Caenorhabditis elegans: one gene and its partner. The protein of the gene in region 2 purifies or fractionates together with the protein of the main gene of each other region. This does not show direct contact. Each region holds a gene or a part of one and is shown on either strand. Other genes may lie near its edges.

The links.
Region 1: the proteins of cogc-1 (region 2) and cogc-5 fractionate together in Caenorhabditis elegans (co-fractionation; one large-scale study listed by BioGRID). This does not show direct contact.

Annotation. Positions count from the first base shown.
Region 1 is NC_003279.8:4,247,679-4,253,732, reverse strand, and holds cogc-5 (Conserved oligomeric Golgi complex subunit 5), read right to left. Parts: upstream 4,241-6,054; 5' UTR 4,235-4,240; coding exon 4,161-4,234; intron 3,692-4,160; coding exon 2,556-3,691; intron 2,242-2,555; coding exon 1,839-2,241; intron 1,085-1,838; coding exon 892-1,084; intron 826-891; coding exon 661-825; 3' UTR 563-660; downstream 1-562. Other genes in the region: C43E11.12 (Transcription factor TFIIIC triple barrel domain-containing protein), read right to left, coding at 1-113, 162-491; tufm-2 (protein-synthesizing GTPase), read right to left, coding at 4,473-5,032, 5,167-5,709, 5,756-5,972.
Region 2 is NC_003279.8:3,231,552-3,236,585, reverse strand, and holds the start of cogc-1 (Conserved oligomeric Golgi complex subunit 1), read right to left. Parts: upstream 3,196-5,034; coding exon 3,128-3,195; intron 2,218-3,127; coding exon 2,053-2,217; intron 1,339-2,052; coding exon 1,259-1,338; intron 1,079-1,258; coding exon 993-1,078; intron 1-992. Other genes in the region: txl-1 (Thioredoxin-like protein), read right to left, coding at 3,501-3,605, 4,477-4,975.

The DNA of each region.
Region 1 (6,054 bases), 1.0 Mb from region 2:
GTCATCATGGTCGATGTACACGAAATCACTTCCATCTCTTTTCCTTTTGACTGCAGAACCATATTTGTTCCGAGATCTTGCTCCCAGGATGCCGTGTATAGTGAGTTGTTGATCTGAAATTCATAAAATTTTACTTTTGAGTTTGTATATTTCCATTTTACCTGTAAAACTGGTGCATCCGTTTCAGCGTACCGCAATTTGATCAAATCTCTCTCGACGGCATCTCTAACAAGATCCGCGTCGAGAATTCCATTGACAGTGACCACCATCGTTACATCTTCCCATTCATCATCATCACCTTCGTCTTCTTCTACTTCTTCCTCTATTTCTTCTGGTTGAACTTCCATCTCTTCCGGCTCATCTACCCTTTCGGGTATTTCTTGTTCAAATCGCATTGGCTTCAGGCATGCTTCTTCTGGTTCTCGTTTGATGGGCGACATTTTGAATTCTACAATATATTTCTGGAAAGAAAAAATTGGAAAAAAACACATAACAATTCAGAATAGAAATATGAAGAATGGCTGAGAACCGTGGAGACTGAACAAATGGAAATTGTAGGAATAAACGAATACACTTTTATTCCACCCAAATAAATAAATATTATCACAATCATAAATACATAAACCCATGCGTTGTTAAATTCTCCGAGTGTCCTTTAGGTTAGAAAGCATTTTGAAGAAGCTTCACAATACGAGGATAATGATCGACATAGTGTTGTTGACCACGTGAGATGACAGAACTATTGTACGAAGACACAAGTCCGTTGAGGAATGCGAGAACTTCCAGCTCAGTGTGCTCTTCGTACCACTTTACATATTCTTCGGGCTGAAAATTGAAACATATAAATATTTCATATTTAGAGTATTCATAGTATTGTGGAAAACTACGAACCGTCCATTTTACAGATTGATTAGGAAGTGGAAGTTCTGAAGGGCTATCGGATACTAGTAGCTGGATTAAAATCGACTTTTTGACACCTTCAACTCTGAGCATCACATCAACATCGCTTCCGAAAAGATCCAAAAGTCGAGTAGTGTCACCATATTTGGAAGGCCATTCCATTGAACGAACGGCTTCGAGTAATCTGAAAAAGTAATTTTTCTGACGAAATTATTGAATAATTTAATAAAAGGTTTGAAAACGTATTTCTTTTGTTTTGATATCCTCTGAATTCGGTTAAAACTTAAACATTTTTGATAAGTTTTCAGTTAGACAAGTTAAATAAATAAATTTAAATACAAAATGGCGGCAAAGATGTAAAGCGCTGAATCATAACCGATGTAAAAACAGAAAAAGTTAACACTTTTGTGATTCAGCGCGCCGTTTTGAGTTTAAATTTAAAATGTCTAACCGACAACTTGGAAAATAAATTTAAAATAATATAAAAATTGCTAACCACAGGGAAAATCAGGTTTTTTTGTTGTTCTTTTTTTTTGCTATTTCAAAATTTTTTCTTAAATTTTTTTTTCTAGGATATCTTAATAAAATTGTTCGATTTTTCGGTTTTATTTCCACAGAAAATAGGAAAATACGATAAAACTATAGATTTATCAAAAAAAAATGGTTTTGATGATAAAAATGACTAAAGAGGTTTTTTTCTTCTAAAAAAACATTTTCGATATTTTAAAAATCATATATTTTTTTGGAAATTTTTTAGAAGACGACAAATGAGAAAAACAATAAATTTTTTGAGGTTTGAAAAATTATTTAGAAAAATTTACATGTTTTGATCAAAATTGTTTTTTTTTCTATTTCGAGTGTAATTTTTTGCAAGAAAACGTTTTTTAAAAATTTTTTTTGAAAAATTTTTAACATTTTCAGTTTAAGCACCCTATTACCTTGAAAAGTCAATGACAATGAGTTGACGTTCATCAGAAGCATGTGATCTGACTAATGTGGCATTTAGAATAAATGAGTCAATGACATATTCGGCAATTTGTGAGAGTACGTGAGAATGACAAACTGCTCGTGAAACGTGAGCCATGTGCATGTCGATATGATTAATGTAGGTGAGCAATTCTTGCATGTACGGAGCCACGGATTTTGTCATTCCGCGTGTTTCAACGTGCATTCTTGCAACAATCGCGCGAATCGAGTTTTTGACTTCTATGACGATCGCATCAAGAGTTTCTTTTTGAATCGCTGTCACACTTTTCGATTCTGCTGGCCAACGTTTTGTGATACCATCAGCGGTTTGAATGAGACGATAGTTTGTCATTTGATTTGCAGTCAATCGGTCTCCTGAAAATGTTTTTTTATTTGGTCATTTAAATGTGGAGTATGGAAAATAAATATTTGTTTTGTACACTCAAAAAAGCTCGAATATCATAATAAAAACTCAATTTTTGAAGAATGAAAATTTAGAGAAGTCTCAAAAAAAAATGTTTTGAAAGTTTTATAAATTTGGAAAAATTTTCGAATAAAAAAACAGGACTTTTTCAGAAAGTTTTATCGAATCGCCGAAAATATCGTCATCGTTTTCTCGGGTTTTCGGAATTTTTTTTTGTTTTTGATAAAAAAAATCAACAAAAAAAAGTATTAATTTCACAGCTCACCTAGGAGTAAATCATCTCTTTGTAAATGAAGATTGGCTTCCAATTTCTTTGCAATAATCTCAATGCATTTCTCAATATTATTGCTCATTTTCTGGCTCAACTCCGCGTCCCAGTCGACTTTTCGATGTTCTTCTTCCATTGCAGAATTGATAAGATCGACAAATGCATTGGCATGAGCTGTAGAGAAGTCATTTTCTTCAACGAGTTTGTGCAAACGAGCCAGTGAATGAGTCAGGAGAGAGTTCTTGAGTGGACGTAAAGAATCGTTCAAAGCGGGTGAACTATCTCCCTTTGAATTGAATACTCTACCCAATTGCTGTACAAACCGCAAAGCGTATGGAGTATCGAGTGGAACTCTGCTACGAATCAGTCGAGCCAACTTTTCAGAGAATTTCTTCTTATAGACTTCACCCAGCATAGCCGCTTGTTCGAGATGTGATTGAATTGTTGCAGCGACTACAGGGAGACTTTTATTAGCAACTTCTGGAGAGCTGTTTGATAATTCCATTAATTTCTTATCCAGATCGACAACAGAGGAGGACAGCAAAACTTCAAGTTCTGAATCCAAATAATTCAAAGTTCGAAGAGCTCTTTGAGCAGATACAACCATCGAGCTATTCAATGACGCTAAACCTCGTTTCAACTCCTCCGCTCCACTGCGTCGAACTTCATTTTCAGCCACTTTCAACTTGGTATCCACCATATTCTTCAACCATCCAATTTTTCGCAAATTTTTATTATCATTGAGTATCTCCTTAATCTCCGATGTGATCTCCGCCTTCTTCACCAAATCACTTCGTTTCTCAAGAGATTCAAAAAGTTCTTCACATCTTTGGGCATCTGAAGCCATGTTTCTTTTGAGCATCGTTGCTTCGAGTTGGCGAGTTTGTTCGCGAAGCTTCGTGGTAAGATCATCACAAACCGTGGCGAGTCGATTTGATTCTTTGGTCACTGATGTCATTCGCATTTGAACTGAATGTAGAGTATCTTCAAGTGATTGAAGAGCTGGCACTTGCTCCAGTAGTCGTGGAAGATTAGTTTCGACTCCTTTACGAAGCTGTTTGTCGAGGGTATCATGGAGTCCAGCGACTTTTCGATTCAATGATTCAGCTACGGATGAGTCACATTCTGCTACCCTGAAAATTTGTACATATACTTAGAAAAAAACTTGAAGATAATTTTTTTGATCGACGACTTCCAAAAAAGTTTTTATTACTTGAAATTTCAAGTCAATTGAAATAACAACTTTTGCAAACATTTTTGATTTGATTTTTTATTAATATAATGTAACACTACAGTTATGTTTTTTAAAAATTTCTCTACTGGCGGTACTCCATCTTTCGACAAAGTGTGCGCCTTTAAAGAATACTGTAATTTAAAACTTTCGATGCTGCGAAGTTTTTATCGATTTTTCATAGTTTTTCTTACGATTTGTTAAAGTTTATGTTGTTCTATTTTAGTTTTTAAAAAATAAATAAATGAATATACTTTTTGCAAAAAACTATGAAGAATCGACGCTACAGTACTCTTTAAAGGCGCGTACCATTTTTCATTAAACAAAAATTGTCGTGTCGAGACCCAAATCCACAAAATTTGGCGACTTACTTTTTCAAGTAATCCTTAACATCAGTTTTTCCCCAGAGGAAGTCGTCGAGCTGTTCGTCGACTCTCCCCGACATTTTAAACTGGAATTAAAAAATAAATTATTATTTAATACGAAAATTAAAAATAAAGATATTAATGAGCAGATCAGGTAAAACTGCTATTAATAGGAGAATGGTATTATTTGAACAATAAAAGTAGTGAAATATTATTCGAAGATTTCGACAAAAGAAAACAAAAACAAAACAAGATATAGTAGTTAACAAGCTAATAAAATCTAACCTAAAATAAATCAATACTGTAATATATAAAGAACTACATCTTTTCAGCGGACTTTTTAAGATTATGTTTCTCTACAGCCACATGATCCTCTAGATCTGAGATGATTCCTCTAGCGATCGTTGTTTTACTGCTTCCTTCTCTCAATGTAAACGGCATTCCTTTTCTGAGTGGCATGTCTTTCATCAAGAGTACTGTAGCAGAAGTATGTTCTCCTGGCATCAGAAGCTCATTGCTCATATCGAAACGACCAACTTGATCCCAAGTACTGCAGTACATTTTGTCTGTGAAACCAGTCCGAATTCCGATCTTCCTGCCATTTTCAGCCTCCGAGAGAAGATAAAGTTCCACTTTCACTCGATTCGTAATTGTTACTGCTCCTGGATGTCCTGCCCACATTCCTCTCTTCACTGTATCCCCTTTAACTCCTCTACACAGAACTCCACAATGATCTCCAGCACGAACTTCCTTCACACTTTTGCCAAAAACTTGGATATCCGAAGCAGTCGTTTGAAGAGTTTGCCCGTCTCCTTTGATTTCAACTTTATCGCCTTTTTTCAAGACACCTCTTTCCAGTGTACCGACGATGACTGTTCCTGAAAAACATTTTAAATTGGTTTTTTTTTAAATATTAGGGGTGGCAAAAAATGTCATTTATTGAAATTTCTTGCACTTTTTCTTGCAAAATAAATTCTTGATTGGCACACCTTATATTTCTTTTTTCAATTACCTCGCCCAGTGATAGCAGTTTTCGATGCAATTGGCATTACAAAAGTATCCTTTTCATTTCTATCCGGCTCTGGAAGTGAATCCAATGCATCAATCAATCTCTCGATACACGAAATATCTTGTCCTTCTAGAGCACTTAAAGCGGAACCTCGAATAACTGGAGTCGCATCTCCATTAAAGCCATGCAGACTCAACAATTCCCGTGCTTCCATTTCTACCAAATCCAGATCATCTTCTTCAACCAAATCCGCTTTATTGATGAAAATCGCCATATTTTTAACACCAACTTGCTTGGCTAGAATCAAATGTTCTTTGGTTTGCTCCATGACTCCGTCGGTTGCAGCAATCACAAGAACAGCCACGTCCATTTGTGAAGTTCCGCAAATCATATTTTTGATGAAATCCGAGTGACCGGGGCAATCAGTGTGGGAATATCGACGCAGAGGACTTTCATAGCCGATATGAGCGACATTGATTGTAATTCCACGTTTCTTTTCTTCTTTTCCCTTATCGATTTCGTCAAATTTAATATGCTTCGCAAAACCTGCAGAATTGAATTCATTTGTGAATAATATAAAAATTAATTAAACCTTTTTTAGCCTGAACTCTTGTGATTGCTGATGTTAGAGTTGTTTTCCCGTGATCGATGTGTCCAATAGTTCCCACATTTACATTGATTTTTGGCGTAGCAGCTGCAGTGGCAAAGAAAGCGACGGCATTTCGTGTGATTGAATTACAAAATGAAGATGTTGAGCATCGATTGAATAGTAGAGATCGTGTGAATGCCGACAAAGCAGCGGGGTTCATTTTACCTATAACACCGAGAAATTCATGTTATAATAAAATCGGTTATAACAATTTTAGTAACTTTGAAACCATAGAAACCTGG
Region 2 (5,034 bases):
AAATTTCTGAAACAATTTTTTTTCAGATTTTTCGATTTTTCTATTTTGCATGAAAAACACCGAAAAAGCGGAAAACGCGAAAAACGCGAAAAAATCGAAAAATGCCTGTATGTATGTAAAGTATGTAAACTTGTATGTAAACTTGTATGTAAAGGTGTCAGTTTTTCGATTTTTTGACAAATAAAATTGAAAAACAATATTTCTTCGATTTTTCGATTTCTGGAAAGCAAAAAATGTTCGTTTTTCGATTTTTTTCGATTTGTCAAAAATCAGCTTAAAATTGTGATCACTTTCTTCTTTTTGGAAGTTTTTTCTCAATAATATAAACAAAATGAGATAAAAAATCGAATTTTATAGTTAATTTTCTGATAAATTCTTTTCGGATGTTTCGATTTTAGTTGAAAAATATCGAAAAAATGAAATATTTTTTCGATTTTTCTAAGGCTTCCATGTGAGAGCGGCGCGGCGTCGGCGCCTCACGCCGGCATCACGCCGGCCGGCTTTCGCCTTCGCCGCTTTAAAAAATTTTGACGTGAATTCTATATTTTCATTTTTAATAATTTGTTGAAATTTTAGAAAAAAAACAAGAAATGAAAATAAAATTTTACGTTTTTTTTTCAATGACGGCGATAGTGGCGACGTGAGGCTGTTTGAGGCGCCTCACCGGCCGGCGAAGGCGCCGGGATGGAAGCCCTAGATTTTTCATCAAATCGTGCTCATTTCTATTAAAATAAAGTACAAAAACATATGAATTTCTTCAAAAAATCGGGAAAAAAATTTATTTTTTAAGTTAAAAAAAATAAATTTCCATTTTTCGGTTCTCCTCGAAAAACCTGAAATTTCTCCCAATTGTTCAACAATTTACTGTCAAAAATATCTAGAAAAAATCTGACCAAAATTAATTTTAAGATTTTTTTAAATTGTTTTTTTTTTCGAAAATTTCAAAATCCAATTTTTTAGCGCAGCTACCAACAATATTTATTTAAACTGACCATTGGCGACGAATGATTACTGATGAGCTGCTTCTGAAGATGCTCCACCATGCAAAGAGCAACTACATCGTCCAGTGGCTCACCGCCTGGAAAAAATACATTTTTTAAAAATGAAATTTGATAGCATTTCAATTTGTTTTACGGGTAAAACTACTCAATTTTCATGATTTTAAAAATTTTTTCAGTAAAAATCGCTAAAATTCGCTGACATTTTTGAATTAATTAAGTTGAAATCAATTTTTAATTTCAAAAAAAAAAGCCCATACTATCTCCTCCAATACTTGAAACCAAATAGTTCACCGCATAGAGATGTTCTCCCGCTTTCTGTTCCTCTCGTCCTCCGGTTCTGGAAATTCAAAATTTTATTTTTTTTTTCAAATTTTTTGCTCTGAAATTTACAGAATTGTTTGGAAAACCGTGCAAAAATGTGATAAATATTTGAATTTATCTAGGTTAAAAATTTGAAAACAAATCCGAATAAATTGAGTTTTTGATTTATAACTTTTGATTTTTTTTTTCGAAGTAGAATATATATTTTTCTAACGATTTTCGGATCTTAAAATTGAAAATAATTCTGGAATTGAAGAATTTTGTTTATTAATGGTTTTTGAATTCCCGCGCAATCTAATTTCGGCATTTGAGCGTTTTTTCGGCTATATTTATTGGTTTTTATTAATTTATTATTATTATTATTATTATTTGCTTTTAAACATATTTTTCGTGTTTTCAGTCATTTTTTTTCTGTTAAAAAAACGGCTGAAAATTTAAAATTTGTCTGAAAATCGATAATTTAGCATTAAATATTTTCCGCAAAAGTCTAATTTTTTGCTAGAAAATCGATTTTTAGACAAATTTTAGGGTCTCAGCAATTTTTTTCGGGGTAAAATGTCTGAAAATGAAAAATTAAATTAAATTTTCCTAATTAGTTTTTTTTGCGAAATTTTCTCAAAAAAACCATTTTAAAAATTTGGAAAAATTCAATTTTTTCCAATTTTTTGAATAGAATTTTTTGCCGTATTTTTTCCGAGTTTTTACTCAAATTTTGCGAAATATTTCCAACCTAACATGAGTGGATTGATATCCAACTCTTGTATTTGCAATATCTGAGGCCAATTTATCAGCCAAAGAGCACACGTGACGAACTTCTGAAGAAGCTTCTAGAACATCTCGATACCGACGGCCGACCATTTCACGGAGACTTTCTCGTTTTCCTTCCATTTCTTTTCTGAAAAAAATGTTTTTTTTTCGAAAATTATCGATTTTTCTGAAAATTATCGTTTTTTTAAACTTATAGCTTTCTTTGCTGGAAATTGTGGAATTTTTACGATTTTTTGACTTTCTCAATATATTATTGAATTTTCTGAAACCTATCGTTTTTTTTTTGAAAATTATAGCATTTTATTGGAAATTATCACTGTTTTTTTTGAAAACTAAGGATTTTTTTGGAGATTATCGTGTTTTTTTTTTGGAATTTACCGATTTTTCGACTTTATAAAAAATTAGTTTCTGAAAATCAGCGATTTTGATTTTTTTTTTGGAAATAATACCTTTTTTTGGAAACATTATACGCTTTTTGCACTTCAATTTTAAATGAATATTTTGAAATTTTGATGTGAAAATTTAAAAAAAAATTGTTTCTCATGAAAAAATTGAATTTTCTATTTTTTAAATAACACTCTGTTTAAAAAATCCCGAAAAATCTTATTTTCAGCCAATTTTCCCGAGAAAACATTAAAATTTCTTAGTTTTGCTTTTTTCTTAGCTTTTTCGAAGATTATAGCCCTTTATTGAAAATTATCACTTTTTTTTTGGAAATTGTTGATTTTTCTGAACTTTTTGAAATTTCAATTTGCAAATATTTTTCTCGCGAAAAAAATTGAAATTTCTATTTTTTAAATAAAATTTTGTGAGAAAAAAAAATACTTTTTCAGCCAATTTTCACCAGAAAACATTAAAAATTTCTAATTTTCAATTAATTTTTGTTTTAAAAAATTAATTTTTTTCAGCAAATTTTTCCGATTCCTCATTTTACAAAAATTTCTTCAACACATCCACGTGTCGATTTACGCAGCCCTCGTGTACTCCACGAGGAGAAGCTTTTGTTTCGAATTTTCTCGAATTCCCGCTTCTCTTACTCCAAATTCTGCTGAATATTCTCCAGTTGCTCGACCGATAGGTCACGCATGAGCCGGTCAACGTCCATCTGAAAATTTCAGATTTTTTCTTTTTTTTAAATTAAATTAGAAATATCTAGATGAAATGAAACATTTTTCGAGTTAAAAATTGAATAGGATAGCTTGGAGAAATGTGTTTATGCTGAGAAAAAAAAATAAATTTAAATTTAAAATTAAAATTAAAATAAAAATGATACACAAATCGAGAAATAAATAAGGAAAATATGGAAACTGGGATCAGCGAAAGTATGGTTTTTGGTACATGACAATTAGAGAAATGAATTGGATAACTCGTTGGCTCACAATCAGTTGATAGGAAGAAGGATTGATGGGCTCAATGAGCTGCATCTCCAGCTTTTCCGGCGACTCTTTTGAATTCGTTCATGTTGAGAGCAGACAGAGGTGTTCCGAAGACTGTAAGCTTGACGAGCTCAGTGACCTGGAAAAAAGGAAAAAATTGGAGGAAATTGGAAAATTATAATAATTTTGCTCTGAACCAGGGGTGGGCGGCAAACGATTTTTCCGGCAAATTGGCAAATGTCGAATTTGCCGGAAAAACGGCAAATTGCGGTTTTGCAAATTTTTTTTTTTGGAAATTTCAGAATTTAAATTTCAATCGGCAAAATTGTACGCATCCTATGAATATTTCTACATTTATTTTGAAAAGTAGGCAAATTCTATGAAAATATCTAAAGAAAATGGGGAAAAAATTTCAAAAAGGCATAGTTTTAAGTTTTTCCGTCTTATAAATAATCCCTCTAAAAATTTCCGGCAAATCGGCAATTTGCCGAAAATGAAAATTTACGACGAATCGGCAAATTGTCAGATTTAAAAATTTCTGGCAAATTGGCAAATCGGCAGTTTTCCGAAAATTAATATTTACAGAAAATCGGCGATTTTCATAATGAGACTTCCAAAAAAAATCCGAAAAATTGTTTTGCAGCTCAAAAACTAAAATAATATCGGAAAAAAAACCAAAATATTGTTAAAATCCGAAATTTCGCCGGAATACATTTTATATTAAAAACAATTTTTCAATATTTTTTAAATGGCGGTTTAAAATTTCGAAAAAAAATTTGCTAATTTTAGCTAAATTTCAATTTTTTTTTTTCAATAATGTCTGAGAAGTTTCTTCACGAAATTCGTTCATTAATAAAGCGAGTTTTCGTGATTTTACTGAAAATCTTTAATTATCTTTCTTTATTTATTTAATACGTTTATTAAATAAATAAATAAAAGCATAATCAATAGTTTTGGGTAAAATTTTAGTAAATTTAAATGTTTTCAAAGTAATTTTTATCGAAACTTACATCTCCTCCACCGACATTATTCTCAATGAAAAATTGAATATTCTGAACATTCTGGAACTTGACATATTTCAACGCGACGACTTGTCCGTGCCCTTGAATAGAAGATTCATCAAATTCCAACATTTGAGTTGGCTCCAGAGCTGTTGCATTATCGAAATCCGTAGTTTTCGGAAGATTAATGAACACTTTGACCTTCTTTGGAGCACGATCCGATACTCCTTTAATAAGAATTGAATGAACTTTGACTGGTTGATTAAATGGAAGTGAGATGATCAATTGCTCATCACAATCTGAAACCAGATTGCAGTTTCCTTCGAGAAAACGTCCCAGTGGAGTATCATCAGATTCATTCAAACATTCCATTTGTTTCTTATCGACAAGAGGTGTCAAGTCCATTTGACCAGCAACCAGTGAGTCGGCTGCCGAGTTGTCTGCGTACTTTTTCACCATTGTTTCCAGTGCTTTTGCATCGGCTCCTTTCATTTGTTCCACGCGGACTCTGCAAATTTTTATTTTGGGGAGTAGAGTTTCTGAGGTGGGCGGATATTTTTTTCGGAT